Linked DNA regions of Stegostoma tigrinum. Each later gene encodes a partner of the first gene's protein in a complex. Links are inferred from orthologs where the notes say so. Each region holds a gene or a part of one and is shown on either strand. Other genes may lie near its edges.

Region 1 (7,362 bases):
TGGACAGGCTTTGGGAGTCAGAGGTGTGTTACTCGTTGCAGAATTTTGAGCCTTTGTTTTTGTCACCACATTTATGTGGTTAGTCCAGTTCCATTTCTGGTTAATATAACCCCAGTTTGTTGATGGTAGGGGATTCAATGATGGTAATGCTTTTAAATTTTAAGGAGCGATGGGTACATTCTCCCTTGTCAGAGAGGTTCATTGTCTGGCTTTTATGTGACACAAATGCTGCCTGCCATTTTTCAGCTCAAACTGGAAATTGTGCAGATCTTGCTACAAATTAAGAACATGTGGCCTAAAAAAACCTGGTACATTTACACTAAATTACAGAAAATATCTTAGATTCTGGATTTGGGCCCTGATCCCAGATTCAGAAAGCAATCCCTAATCCCTTACTCTGGTTCTGTACTGGATTCAGAAGCTGGATATTGTCCAGTTCTTGCTACATTTCGACATGGACTGTTTCAGTATCTGAGAAGTTGCAAATGGTGCTCAGCATTGTGCAATCATCACGAGCATCCTGAATTCCGACCTTATGATGGAGGGAAGGTCATTGGCGAAGCAGCTGATGGTTGGTCCCAGGACACAAACAAGAGAAAATCCCTCAGTGACGACCTGGACTTGAGATAACTGACCTCCAAAAGTCACAACCATCTTCTTTTGTGCCGGGTATAACTCCGACCAGCAAAGAATTTGCTCCCTCATTACCAGAGACTAGTTTTTTTTTGGACTGCTCGATGCTGCACGTTGTCAAAGGTGGCAATGACCCTTGTCTAGGCCCGAAACATCAACTTTTGTGCTCCTAAGATGCTGCTTGACCTGCTGTGTTCATCCACCTCCACACTTGGTTATCTCGGAGTGTCCAGCATCTGCAGTTCCCATTATCTCTGGGTGTCAGTGAGCTGGTATTATCTGGTAGCTCTGTTGATAACATTTGATAATTTACTAATGATCAAGAGTTCATTGGACATGGACTATTTCAGTATCTGAAAAGTTGCAAATGGTGCTCAGCATTGTGCAATCATCAGCGAACATCCTGAATTCCGACCTTATGGAGGGAAGGTCATTAGTGAAGCAGCTGATGGTTGGTCCCGATCAATTACTGGTGGGCTGGTTTGGATGTGCCATGCTTTTTGTGTACAGGGCCAACCTGGGTGATTTTCAGAGTACTTGGAACAGCTTGGTTATGTTTGCAGTGAGTTCTGGAGCATAGCTCTGCAGTATAATTCCCAGAAAGTTGTTAGAGGCCATAGTCTTTGTTGGATCCAGTGCCTCTAACCATTTTTTGAAATCATTTGGAGTGAATCATAATTTCTGAAGATTGGTATCTGTGATGCTGGCACTTCTGGAGAAGGCTGTATTGGTGATCTCTGATCATGGACTCTGGTTGTGATCCTGGACTCCGCTTTTGATCTGGGACTTGGGTTATGATCCCAGACTCTGCCTGTGATACCAGACTTTGGTGTGATTTGAGATCTTAGGTGCGATCTGGTACTCAAGCTGTGAACTGGGACTTGGGTTGTGTTCCAGGACCTGTGTGGTGATGCAGGTTCTGATCCAGGACATAGAATGAGATCTGGGGGTCAGCTTGTGATCCAGGACTCTGATTGTGATTTCAGTCTTGGACCGTGAGTTTGCAACTGGATTGTGAGCCAGATTCTGGTTTTGATTCTGGATGAGCTGAACTTCCGGAGGTAGGCTGGGATCCTGAATCCTTGTGAGATCCCAGACTTGGGCAATGATCTGGGAGTTGGGTCATCACCCCAGACTTGGTTGGAATCCCAGAGTCATTGAAGTTTCCAGACTCAGGCTAGGCTCCCAGACTCTGCTGTGAACTTGGACATGGGCTGGGATACCGGACTTTGGTTGTGATTCAAGATCATTGCCCAGGTTCAAGATCCTATCCCCAGAACAGGATCCCAGAGGTCACAGTGTAAGGATACAGGGTAAGTCATTTAAGACTGAGATGAGGAGAAATTTGTTAACCCAGGTGAGTTTGTGGAATTCTCTGTCACAGAAAGCAGTTGAGGCCAAAACAGTGAGTGTTTTCAAGGAGTTAGATGTAGGTCTTCTGGCTAAAGGGATCAAAAGGTATAGGAAGAAGGTGGTCCTGAATAGGATGAGCAACCATTGAGGTGTTGGTGGTCTTAAAACACATAAATGTAGATAAATCTCTGGAACCCTATCAGTTGTATCCCAGGACATTGCGGGAAGCTAGGAAAGAAATTGCAGGGTTCCTAACATAAACATTTGTATCATCTACAGTCACAGATGAGGTGCTGGAAGATGGGAGGGTGACTAATCTCATCAGATTGTCACTTCAGCTCTGATGAAAAATCATCTAGATTCAAAACATTAGCTTGCTCTCTCTCCATGAATGCTGTCTGACCTGCTGTGATCTCCAGGATTTGTTGTTTTCAGTAAGATACCAGCATTTGCAGTAATTTGTTCGTACCTAGAGAGTGACTAATGTTGTGCCATTATTTAAGAAAGGCTGCAAGGAAAAACCAGGGAACTACAGACTGGTGAGCCTAATGTCAGTGGTGGGTAAATTGTTGGAGGGGATTCTTAGAGATAGGGTCTACATGCAACTGGAAAGGCAAAGACTGATTAGGGAAAGTCATGATAGCTTTGTGTGTGGGAAAAGTTGCTCTCAAATTTGACTGAGAGTTTTGAAGAGGTGACCAAGAAAACAGATGAAGGCAGGATGGTGCACCTTGTCTACATGGACTTTAGCAAGATCTTTGACAAGGTCCTGCATGGTTCAAGGTTAGTAAAGTTAGATTATATGGGATCCAGGGAGATGTAACCAATTGGATACAAAATTGGATTGATGGTAGGAGACAGAGTGTACTGGTAGTGGGTTGTTGTTCAGACTGGAGGCCTGTGACCAGTGGATTGGTACTAGGTCCACTGTTGTTCATCATTTATTTGAATGATTTGGATGAGAATGTAGGAGGCATGGTTAATAAATTTGACAGTGACACCAAAATTAGTGGTATAGGAGATAGTTAAAAAGGCTATTAAGAGGGCAACAGGATTTTGGTCAATGGGGCCAGCAGGTCGAGGAATGGCAGATGGAGTATAATTTAGATAAATGCACGGATGATTTGTGTTGACTGCTTGCTTCTGTGCTGTATGACTCTAATTTTATTGAATGATGCAGCAGGCTTTAACAGCTGAATGCCCAGCTCCTGTTCGGATATTTCTGTCCCAGCCTGCATCTCAGCTTGCTGACCAATTCCCAGATCACTGCTTGATTCCAGAATCTCAGTCTGAACCTGGACCATATCCTTGTCTGGGATCATAGCCTGAGTCCTAGATCACAACTGGATTTATAGTTCTCTGCCCATATCTTGGATCCCGTCACGAATCCAATATTGCAGCCAGGTGCCGGCACTGCAACTGGATTTCAGGATACCAGCTGAAGCTGAGATCAGAACTGATTCCTGCATCCCTGCCCAAGTCCGAGATCACAGTCAGAATCCAGGATACCAGCTCGAGTTTGGGATCTCAGTCCTAATCTAGGATCATAATCAGAGATCCCCAATCTGTCTGGGATCTTTGCCCAAGTCTGAAATCCCAGCCCAAGTATCAGATCACAAGCAGAGTCTGGGTGCCCAGTCCATGTACCAGCTCAAAGCCCAAGTCGGGGACCGTAGACCAAGTCCAGAGCTTAGATCGAGTTTGGGATCTCCGTCAAAGACCAGGATCACAACCCCAAGTGATTCCAGGAACCCAGTCCTTGTCCTAGATTACAACTGGAGTCCAGATCACGAACTGCGTCTGCAATCATTACCCAAATCCAGGCCTTCAGATCACCAGTCGAGTTCTGGATCCCAAAGCTACTCCTCAATCACAGAAGATGATTTCAGGTTCGCTACCTATCCAAAACCATGACCCCAGAATCCGGTTGTAATCTGGCACTGGGGTTGTATTTCGGAATTCAGGCTGTGATCCAGGGCCGAGGGCCCGATCTGAGACTCGGGTAGTGATCTGTGAATTGGGATGGGATCATGGAGCTGGGATGTGAACCTGTAATCTGACTTTAATCCGGGACTCGGGCTGTGATAACAACCTCTGGTTCTGACCCAGGACAAGGGCAGCGATCCCGGATTCAGGTTGTGGTCTGCGGGTGGGGCTGTAATCGCAGATCTGGGCAGTGATCTTGTGTGATCTCCAGCCGTCATCCCTATTGATCTCGGGGAGTGATCCCGTATGACCTGGGGCAGTGATCCCAATTGGTTTGTCGGGCAGACATCACAATGAACTGCGGCAGCGGTCCCAGCCAACCCCGGGCAGTGATCCCGGATGATCTGGGTTTGGGCGCCTCCTGCTGCTGGGAGGGTGGTGACGTCGCCGCAGTCGAGTCCACGTGACCTGTGTTCGGGCGGCGGCGGCGGAAATGGCGGCCCGTCAGGAGGTGGCGACGCGAGTGGAATAAGAGAGACACAGAGAAGGGGTACGGAAAGGAGTTGGTCGTCGTGTACGTTTTCCGTGAAGCGGAGTGGTGAAAAGTGGGCGAGTAAACCGGAGCCTTTCGAAAACGGTACGAGCCTGATGTCTTTGTTATGTTTGCGGGGCGGGCGCAGTCGGTGAGCGAGCTCCGGCCGCGGGTGGAGTTCCTGGGTCGGTGGGTCCAGTCCCTTCTGCCTATTTCCCCCGGCGATTTTTGAAACGAACAGCCGGCTCGCGCGGCTAACGTTCACTGTGTGTGTTCTGGAACGCGACAGTGGCTCATTGTGACGTGCAGGCGGCCGGAATGGATGACCCGGATCGGCTCGGGGGTCACTGCTTCTTCGGCATCCATACATCCATCTGATCAGCTGACAGCAGGTGCATCCACCGCTTCATCATGTACCTGCCGAGTTATTACATATTTGGAAAATGATTTACTTTACTCCTTTTTATTGCTGTAATTACCTCTTTGGAACAAATGATTATAGGGAAGCGGATTTCTTTTTTAAAGAGTGTCATCAAAATACGTTTTAGTGTAACCTGTTTCCTGAGAACAAAAAAAACCCTCCTCCCTCCAATAAAGGCAAATCTAATTTCATCTGCCTTTGTATCAGGGTGCACTGAATCGATTCGAACGGTTGTCATTCAGCAACTCTGGTAATGCTGTCGATTCTAATTCAGTGGGAGATAACTAGTGTACTATGTCAAATAAATGTTTAGCCTGTGGGCAGAGTCAATTAAGTTATTTGTTAAGGGCCTTTATTTTGGAAGGTTGACATTGGTTGTGTTTTCTGTTCCTTGGTGCTATTATTTTTATATAATAAAATGTGATTGTTAATGTATACAAATCATTTGTACAAGGAGCAATGAAGTATTAATTTATATATGAATATACAAAATGGTAGCAGGAATATGCCACTTTGTTCCTTTATTCTGCCATACAGTCAGGTCGTGGTTCATCTGATTACTTTCCCTAATAATCTTTCCCCCCTTTACTTATGAATAATCTATCCATCCTTGCCTTAAGCGTGCTCAAAGACTCTGCATGTACAGCCTTTTGAGGGAAACCATCCACAGACTCTATATTTAAAAAGCACTCCTCTCTGTCATAAGTGGACACCCCTCGTTTTTAAATAGAGACCCTCTATTTCTGGATTCTCCCTGTAGGAAACATCATTTCCATATAACAGAGGTCTTGACAGGGTGGACATGTTTCAATGAAGCTATTTCTTTCTAGCTCAATCTGTGGCGAGTACGAACCTAGCTATTCCAGTTTTCCTTTGAAAGCAACTTGCTATTCCACATTTTAGTCCAGTAAAGCTCTGAATTGCTTCTAACACACTTACCTCCATTGTTAAATAAAAGACCAATACGCAACTCTGCATGTGGTTTCAGCAATACCCTGGTTAACTGAAGCATGTTCTCCTACTTTTATATTCAGTTCTCCTTGCAGTAAACTGTGCATCTTATTAGCCTTCCTAATTACTTGTATCTTCAATCTAGTGTTTGTGATTTGTGCTAGGACAAGTGATGTCTTCATTCCTAGTTTGTAGAAAACGTAAATGCTTAAATGTTATCGAATTGTTCAATTCTTGCAGTTTTGTGAGTGAAAAGAGAGGAAAGGAATCTAGTAAGAGAAAGATTAATGCTAAATAGTATCAGACTGGAAGTGCCTAGCAAATTCTGCGAACTTTGTCTCATTACTGTAGATGCATCTGTCCCTTTAATGGAATGCTTTAATCAATACACAGGGAAAGCAGGTACCACATTTGGCCAAGTCGTGAAATATGCACAATGTAACGGAAAGCTAACCTTCAAGACAAATTTGTTGATTTATAGTGCCAATGACCTCGGCACTTTGGATGGCTTTGAAACAAGTGACCAAGTGAGGAAGAGATAGTAGGATCTGCAGATGCTGGAGAATCTGAGATAACAAGGTGTAGAGCTGAATGAACACGGCAGGCCAGGCAGCTCCAGAGAAGCAAGAAAGCTGACAATTCGAGGGTCTAGGCCCGAAATGTCAGCTTTCCTGCTCCTTTGATGCTGCTTGGCCTGCTGTGTTCGTCCAGCTCTACACCTTGTTATCTCAGACCAAGTGAAAAAGTTCAGTAACTTCTGTCTTCCCTCTCTGAGACGCATGGCAAAACAAAACCATGAATGTGTCAGACCTCTCAAAGGCAGACCTCTCAAGTATGTTGACTCAAGTCAAGCAATGCAACATCAGTACTTTGAATTTCTCCACAGGCTGGAAGATAGCCACGTACCCGACAGTCTTCTGTACAATCAGATAGCTGGAGCCAGAAGTTGAACATCCCAACCTCTGTTTCACACCTCAGAATCATGACATGAAAGCTCTAAACAATGACTGTTGTGTCTTAAATAATGAGTGAAAGTAAGAGGTGGCGACCCTTTTGGTGTTGATGTCCACAAACCTGATGATCAATGGCTTCTGTAGTTTGGCAACCGATGCTAATTTTGAAAGAGACCCAGAACATAATTTGTTGGCTTCATGTGTTTCTGTCATGGCAGAATCTGCTATTAGCAATTGGCCTTCACAGGCGTCAGCACAAGTGCACCATTGAAGACACCCAGCTAGATGAGTTGTTTGCAGCGTGTCTAACATCCTTTATACATGGAAGGATACCAACCCTTTCGGTATAGTACAAGTTTTTGTAAATTGTGACATGATGTTTAAAGTGAACGTGGATATTTACGAGAAAAACAGAAAATGCTGGAAATACTCACTGGGTGTGACTGTATCAGTGCAGTGTTTTCAGTGTTTTCTATTTTCACTTCCTTTCTAGCACAGTCTCAGTCAGTACATGCCATTTCTTTTGTCATTATTTACAAATACATATGTGGTCTTACACTATAATCTGTTCTCTGTACCAGTTTGCACCCTAT
Region 2 (7,742 bases), on another chromosome or scaffold:
CTCCAAGTGTGGCTGCACCAGAGTTTTGTACAGCTGCAGCATAACCTCTTGGTTGCGGAACTCAATCCCTCTATTAATAAAAGCTAAAACACTGTATGCCTTCCTAACAGCCCTGTCAACCTGGGTGGCAACTTTCAAGGATTTGTGCACATGGACACCGAAATCTCTCTGCTCATCTACACTACCAAGAATCTTACCATTAGCCCAGTACTTTGCCTTCTGGTTACTCCTACCAAAGTGCATCACCTCACACTTGTCTGCATTAGACTCCATTTGCCACCTCTCAGCCCAGCTCTGCAGCTTATCTATGTCTCTCTGCAACCTACAGCATCCTTCGTCACTATCCACAACTCCACCAACCTTAGTGTTGTCTGCAAATTTACTAACCCATCCTTCTACGCCCTCATCCAGGTCATTTATAAAAATGACAAACAGCAGTGGACCCAACACCAACCCTTGCGGTACACCACTAGTAACTGGTCTCCAGGTTGAACATTTCCCATCAACTACCACCCTCTGTCTTATTTCAGCAAGCCAATTTCCGATCCAAACTGCTATATCTCCCACAATTCCATTCCTCCGCATTTTGTACAATAGCCTATTGTGGGGAACCTTATTAAACGCCTTGCTGAAATCTATATACACCACATCAACCGGTTTACTTTCATCTACCTGTTGGGTCACCTTCTCAAAGAACTCAATAAGGTTTGTGAGGCACGACCTTCCCTTCACAAAACCGTGCTGACTATCCCTAATCAATTTATTCTTTTCCAGATGATTATAAATCCTATCCCTTATAGCTCCTTTTCCAACACTTTACCTACAACTGAGGTAAGGCTCACTGGTCTATAATTACCAGGGTTGTCTCTACTCCCCTTCTTGAACAGGGGAACCACATTTGCTATCCTCCAGTCATCTGGCACTATTCCTGTAGACAATGACGAGTTAAAGATCAATGCCAAAGACTCGGCAATCTCCTCCCTGGTTTCCCAGAGGATCCCAGGATAAATCCCATCCGGCCCAGGGGACTTATCTATCTTCACCTTCTAAAGGATTTCTAATACCTCTGCCGTGTGAACCTCAAACCCACCTAGTCTAGTAGCCTGTATCTCAGTATTCTCCTCGACAACATTGTCGTTTTCTAGAGTGAATACTGTTGAAAAATATTCATTTAGCGCTTCCCCTATTTCCTCTAACTCCACACACAACTTACCACTACTATCCTTGATTGGGCCTAATCTTATTTTCGTCATTCTTTTATTCCTTAAATACCTATAGAAAGCTTTAGGGTTTAGCCTGATCCTATCCGCCAACAACTTCTCATGTCTCCTCCTGGCTCTTCTGAGCTCTCTTTTTAGGTCTTTCCTGGCTACCTCGTAGCCCTCAAGTGCCCTAACTGAGCCTTCACATCTCATCCTAATATAAGCCTTCTTCTTCCTCTTGACCAGAGATTCCACTTCCTTCGTAAACCACGGCTCCCGCGCTCTACAGCTTCCTCCTTGTCTGACAGGTACTTATCTATCTAGGACACACAGGAGCTTTTCCTTGAATAAGCTCCACATTTCTAATGTGCCCATCCTCTGCTGTTTCCTTCTCCATCCTGTGCTCCCTAAATCTTGCCTAATCTCATCGTAATTGCCTTTCCCCCAGCTATAAGTCTTGTCCAGTGGTATACACCTATCCCTTTCCATCACTAAAGTAAACATAACAGAATTGTGATCGCTATCACCACAAAGTGCTCACCTACTTCCAAATCTAACACCTGGCCGGGCTCATTACCCAGTACCAAATCTAATGTGGCTTCGCCCCTTGTTGGCCTATCTACATACTGTGTCAGGAAGCCCTCCTGCACACTCTGGACAAAAACTGACCCATCTATAGTACTCCCATCTATAGTGTTCCCAGTCAATATCTGGAAAGTTGAAGTCCCCCATGACAACTACCCTGTCTCTCTCACTCCTATCGAGAATCATCTTTGCTATCCTTTCTTCTACATCTCTGGAACTATTCGGAGGCCTATAGAAAACTCCCAACAGGGTGACCTCTCCTTTCCTGTTTCTAACCTCAGCCCATACTACCTCAGTTGACGAGTCCCCAAACATCCTTTCTGCAACTGTAATACTGTCCTTGGCCAACAATGCCACACCTCCACCCCTTTTACCATCTTCTCTGTTCTTACTGAAACATCTAAATCCCGGAACCTGCAACAACCATTCCTGTCCCTGCTCTATCCATGTCTCCGAAATGGCCACAACATCGAAGTCCCAGGTACCAACCCATGCTGCAAGTTCACCCACCTTATTCTGGACGCTCCTGGCATTGAAGTAGACACACGTCAAACCAACTTCTTGCTTGCCGGTGCCATCTTGCTTCCCTGAAACTTTATTTCGGACCACCGTACTCTCAACCTTTTCTATAGTCGAACTACAATTTTGGTGCCCATCCCCCTGCTGAATTAGTTTAAACCCACCCGAACAGCCTTAGCAAATTTCCCCCCCCAGGATATCGGTACCCCTATGGTTCAGGTGAAGACTGTCTCAGAGCCATAATTGAAGGAGAGAATCAGGCTTTGCCAATTGCTCCTGTTCCCCCCTCCCCCAACCAAGGTCTCGATCGAGGTCAGAAGATTCTGTAAGAACCATGTTAGATTTGCAGGATTGCTGTGTTTTGGTTGACAGTAAGACCCTCAAAAAATTACCAATGTAAAAATCACTCCTTAACTCTCTACCTGAAAAGTTAACTTCAAAATTTTGATTTTTTATATGAAGACATAAGGTACTTTTGTTTAATAAAATGTGAGGCTGGATGAACACAGCAGGCCCAGCAGCATCTCAGGAGCACAAAAGCTGACGTTCTTTTGTGCTCCTGAGGTGCTGCTGGGCCTGCTGTGTTCATCCAGCCTCACATTTCATTATCTTGGATTCTCCAGCATCTGCAGTTCCCATTATCACAGGTACTTTTGTTTCACTAGTTTTTACCGCTTTCAGTATTTATACCCCAAGTCTCTCAACTCAATCACAGTTCCCAGCTTCTCATCATTTAGAATGTACCCCAATCAATCTTTCTCAGGTCCAAAGTGGATGATTTTAGTTTTGCCCACTCACCTAATCCATGTTTGGCCTTTGTGTATTTCTCCTTTCATCTACAATCGTTAGTGCCTTTTAATTTAAGCATCTGGAAACCTGAATATATAAGTCAATATTCTTCATCCAAATCGGTGGTATTTGTAGGAAATAACAATCATTATAACACAAGTCTCTGGAAGACACTGAGTTATATTCAACCAAACAAACTAATAGTCTACTCCATACCTTGTGAATAATTCACTCCCTATGTTGAGAGGTTGCCTCCAAGTTCCTGTCCTTTCTCAATTTCTATGCCTCCTGTGCAGAGTGAATGTTGTGATTCCATCTATTACAATAAATGCACATCAAATAATTCAACACCTCTTATTCTTGGGATCTAAAGGATGTTATATACATGCCAACCTTCTTCAGTTTGTGAATATCACGACCCTGATTTGACAATTGTAGTAAAAGTGAGATACCAGCAGAAACGTTTCATGACAAATACAGAAATGTGTTCCTTACTTGTTTTAAACTGGAGTTTGGGAGAGTGTTTGGGGTGCAAAGCAATGTCCTTGGGCCAATATTTATTCCTTAACCCACAGCACCTAAGACCTTTCATAGGTCCTGAGGACCAGAAATGTTTTTTTCTGGGATCTTTTTTGACAAACTTGATTCTCGTGGCATTTGTAGTAGTATTGCTGGTATTAATAATGCATCACTAATTGCCCTTAAGGAAGTAGTTGGCGGTGAGCTGCTGTTTAAGCCACTGTAGTCAATCCATTTGTTCGGAAGCTCCAGGATTTTGGCCGGATGACACTGAAGAGACAGCGCTATTTTCATGTCAGGGTAGTGAGTGGCTTGGAGGGGAACTTGCAGGTGGTCGTGTTCCCATATATCTCCTGCCCTTGTCCCTTCAGGTGAAGCTTCAATACATTGCCAAATGAAAAATAAATTTCGAATATCGCGTTCTCAAAGTTGCCAGCTCGGAGTTTACCAAAGTCGATTGTGAAGGAAAAGGAAATTAAAAGGAGCCCTGTTCGCGACAATTTGTTCTATTTTCTGCACTGTTTTGACGAATGGCATGAAACTGTAAATCGAGCTCGCAAATCGTCAGTGCAGAGTACTCAATCCCAAAAGTATTTTTAAAATAAATATTAAAATTAATATTAATATTAATAAATACACACAGGCTAACTCGACACCCGTCCAAGCGGGCCCCAGCTCCCGCGAGCGCGCGCGCACCTGTCAACGGCTCGCCGTCCCATAGGTAGAGTCAAGCATGCGTAGGAGGGGCTGGAAAGGGGCGGGGGTGGAAATGGGCGGCGTTACTGAGGCGGAGCTAACAATAGGGGCGTGGCAGGGAAAGGTGTCTGAGAAGCGTGCGAGTAGGGGGAGGGGTTTGGATAAAGGGCGGAGCACAGCTCCAAATGTGCGCGGACGCAGCTTTCTTTGGGCGGAGCGTCGTCCGGTGGAGGCGTGGTCTGGTCACGGTGTGGGCGGGCCGTGGGAGGTGGGTCAGATTGTGTGGTGGGACGTCAGGCTGTGGGGGCGCGGTGCTGTACCTTCTTGTGCGGGGAGTAGCCGAAGGGGGCGTGATTCGGCTCCTGGTTGGACGGGGCGTCGCGTGGTGGGGTCGTGATTCAGTTCACGTTTGGGCGGGGCGCCGCGGGGGCGTGGTGCAGTCCCGGTACGGGGCGTCACGCTATGGTGGCGCGGTGAAGTCCCTGAGTGGCCGGGCGTCATATTGTGGGGCCGCGGTGCTGTCGTGTATGGGCGGGGCGTCGCTTTGTGGGGGCGTGGTGCGGTCATGTTATGGGCGGGGCGTCGCGCGCTGGTGCGCGGCATGCACTGTCGTTAGATGGGAGGGTTTTCCAACGGGAGAGTGGAGAACTGGCCGCCAAGGGGCGGGGCGCAGGTGCCGGCGGCAGAAGTCAGGCTGGGACGGGGGCGGGACCAAGCCTGTAGGCGTTTCCTTGAGGCGTGTCGTCATTGCGCGGTCTCGCGCCCTGCGGTAAGCCGGGAGGCGTGCGCGGTGGCGCGCCTCAGCCAGCTCACGCGCAGGCGCGCTCTAGTTGTGGAGTCTTGTCAGTAAGATGGCGGATGATCGGCAGTGAGTGATGATCTCTTGTTCCGTCTGAGAGAAGGAAGCGAACCACCACAAGGCAGAGAGAGATAGACAGCGGTGCAGTTTCGGCCAGGAATGGTCGTTAGTCAGCGGATGCCCACCAACTGACTGCCTGGATCCTTAACCTGTCCTTGCGTTTATTAAGGCGGAAAGGAGTCAGGACCATCTTCAGGACAAACATCGATCATGAAATTCGCCGAACATCTCTCAGCCCACATCACGCCGGAATGGCGCAAACAGTACATCCAGTACGAGGTGAGCTGCGGCACGATCGGTCAGAAAGCCGCGCGGGTTAGTGGCACAATGGACAGCTCTGAGGGGAGGAGGGTGAGGGAGAGAGACAGACTGGAGGGTGAGGGGGAGGGAGAGACGGACTGGAGGGTGCGATTGCAGGAGTGGGAACTGGAGGGTGTGGGTGAGTATGTGGGTAATGGACAGGATGGCCTGGGGGACAGACTGACAGGTGTGGGGGACGGACTGGCAGGTGTGGGTGAGGGAGGGGGACGGGAGGGAGAGTCATCGAGGAGTTTAGAGGCTGAGGGTGGAGACTGGAGAGGGAGGGAAGAAATCAGTAGTGAGATAGAAGGTGATTTGGGGGGACTGGAAAGAAAGATAAGGATTGGAGAGAGATGGGGAGCGATGGGGAGCAGTTGTTGAATTAAGTGATTGGAGGTGACATGATGGGAAAGGGCTTGAGAGCTGTTAGGCAAGGATGGATTGATTGGAGATACAGAGTGATGGGAACGGCGAGTGAGTGGGGTGTTTAGTGTTGGGATGTTGTCATTGAGAGTGAATATGACGGGAGGGAGTTTGGTCTGTGGAAGGAGAGAGGATGAAGTGTTGGAGATGGAGCTGTACATGATCATCCACACTCTTAAAATTGACGACCTCTGGAAATGCTAAGAACTGCAGATAATAATATCCAATGGTGAACTGTTGTGAATGGGAGGAGATTTCATTTTAAGTATTAGATGCAGTAAATTGATCTTGAAAGGATGAAGGCAGTGTTGAATTGAAAAATAGACACAATTCGTATTATGTTCCGAGACATTCGGGTTTCAAATTGTATAAAAACTTGAATGGTTATTTCACCTTCTAATGTGTAGCTGCCTTAGGAATTATTTCTGCGACGATTATTCTTTGTAAGGCATTAGTAGATTTTTTTTGCATGTTTGCACAACTGCTGGGGAGTGAAATTTTAGTGTCAGGTGCAAGCCTTTGTCATTGAACATTATTATTTGAATGGTATTTATTATGTAATGTTTCAATGGTAATTGATAGATGGGAACACAATTTTTGAATATGGTGTAAATTAAAATTAAAATAATTACAGTGTACCTATGTTTGTGTCTGCAAACACTGAAGAGAATCATTAATATTCAATATAAATGCCTCAAGGTTATAAATGCTGGGATATCTCCACAACACAGTGTGATCAGTGTAGTGTACCAGGAATTTTCGATAAAGAAATGCAGAAAAGAGGGACTGGATTTACAGAGAAATGAGAGAGAAAGGTAAAACTACTTTTGTTTTGTCGGTCAAAGTTCTTGATCCGTGCTTGGTCACAGCAGCCCTAGCTAGAGCTAATCAGTCATGGCCCCCCTCCTGCTATGACCCATGCCCGGGTGTGTTAGTTTACGACTAACAGATGAATAGCTTCATAGAATCACATAGCACGGAGGGAGCCATTTGGCCATCATGCCTGTGCCAGTTCTTGGAAAGAGCTGACTAGTTGTGTAACCTTGTCAATCTTTTCCTTTTCAAGGACATATCAATTGAATTCACATCTGTTTCAGGAAGTGCATTCTACATCGTTGTAAATTGCAGAAAACCAGATTTTTTTATAGCTTGTCAAGCATACTATCTTAGCTCAAACTAAGTTACATAGAACATAGAACATTACAGCACAGTACAGGCCCTTCGGCCCTCGATGTTGTGCCGACCTGTCATACCAATCTGAAGGCCATCTAACCTACACTATTCCATGTACGTCCATACGCTTATCCAACGATGACTTAAAGTTGGCGAATCTACTACCGTTGCAGGCAAAGCGTTCCTTTCCCTTACTACTCTCTGAGTAAAGAAACTACCTCTGACATCTGTCCTATATCTTTCACCCCTCAATTTAAAGCTATAAGTTGCCAGTACAAAACAAACTTTACAATCTGTGAGAAACAAGGAAGGCAGAGTCAAGAATGAGTTTTTTTTAGTGCAGGTTGGTATATTTTTAAAAACAGGCATAGAAAATGTACATCATTCCTCAGCCTATCCCAAACCAATAATCTTCAGAACATTTGATTAATTACAGAACAACCACTTATGAGTTAATTTGTTAATATTGTCTCCACTATATTGTTAGTTATAATTCAACAAAGTATAATGCTATTGTATAATGCTAGGCAAGGATTACACCTCACTGAAAAAATAAATTCTGTAAAAATGGTCTGGAATGACTGTATTGATGAATATCTGTACATGATAGTTGAGCATACAATGACTGTTTTCATTAGAATGAGGACTTATTTTAGAATAGATGCCATGAAAGTTGA

The links. Proteins that work in one complex are often made in the same cells at the same time.
Region 2: the proteins of kidins220b (region 1) and xenotropic and polytropic retrovirus receptor 1 homolog are in contact, whole or in part, in a cryo-EM structure (PDB 9JXQ), measured with the Homo sapiens proteins. The link is inferred for Stegostoma tigrinum from reciprocal best matches to the Homo sapiens genes KIDINS220 and XPR1. Residues at the interface, in NP_065789.1 of Homo sapiens: Glu36, Cys37, Gln39, Asp70, Trp72, Met102, Trp105, Trp110, Tyr113, Lys114, Val138, Ile142, Trp143, Gly146, Arg147, Ser166, Asp167, Lys168, Tyr169, Gly170, Trp176, Arg179, Lys180, Gln198, Glu199, Gly200, Ala201, Ser203, Lys234, Arg267; in NP_004727.2 of Homo sapiens: Leu95, Lys189, Lys190, Gln193, Glu197, Ala200, Asn204, Glu205, Ala636, Asp637, Asp638, Leu641, Leu642, Gln644, Met645, Met646, Asp647, Gln648, Asp649, Asp650, Val652, Arg653, Asn654, Arg655.

What each region holds. Positions count from the first base shown.
Region 1 is NC_081357.1:113,752,899-113,760,260, forward strand, and holds the start of kidins220b (kinase D-interacting substrate of 220 kDa B), read left to right. Parts: upstream 1-4,361; 5' UTR 4,362-4,549; intron 4,550-7,362. UniProt on the Homo sapiens protein: Promotes a prolonged MAP-kinase signaling by neurotrophins through activation of a Rap1-dependent mechanism. Provides a docking site for the CRKL-C3G complex, resulting in Rap1-dependent sustained ERK activation.
Region 2 is NC_081361.1:8,624,538-8,632,279, reverse strand, and holds the start of xenotropic and polytropic retrovirus receptor 1 homolog, read left to right. Parts: upstream 1-4,735; 5' UTR 4,736-4,755; intron 4,756-5,338; 5' UTR 5,339-5,379; coding exon 5,380-5,448; intron 5,449-7,742. UniProt on the Homo sapiens protein: Inorganic ion transporter that mediates phosphate ion export across plasma membrane.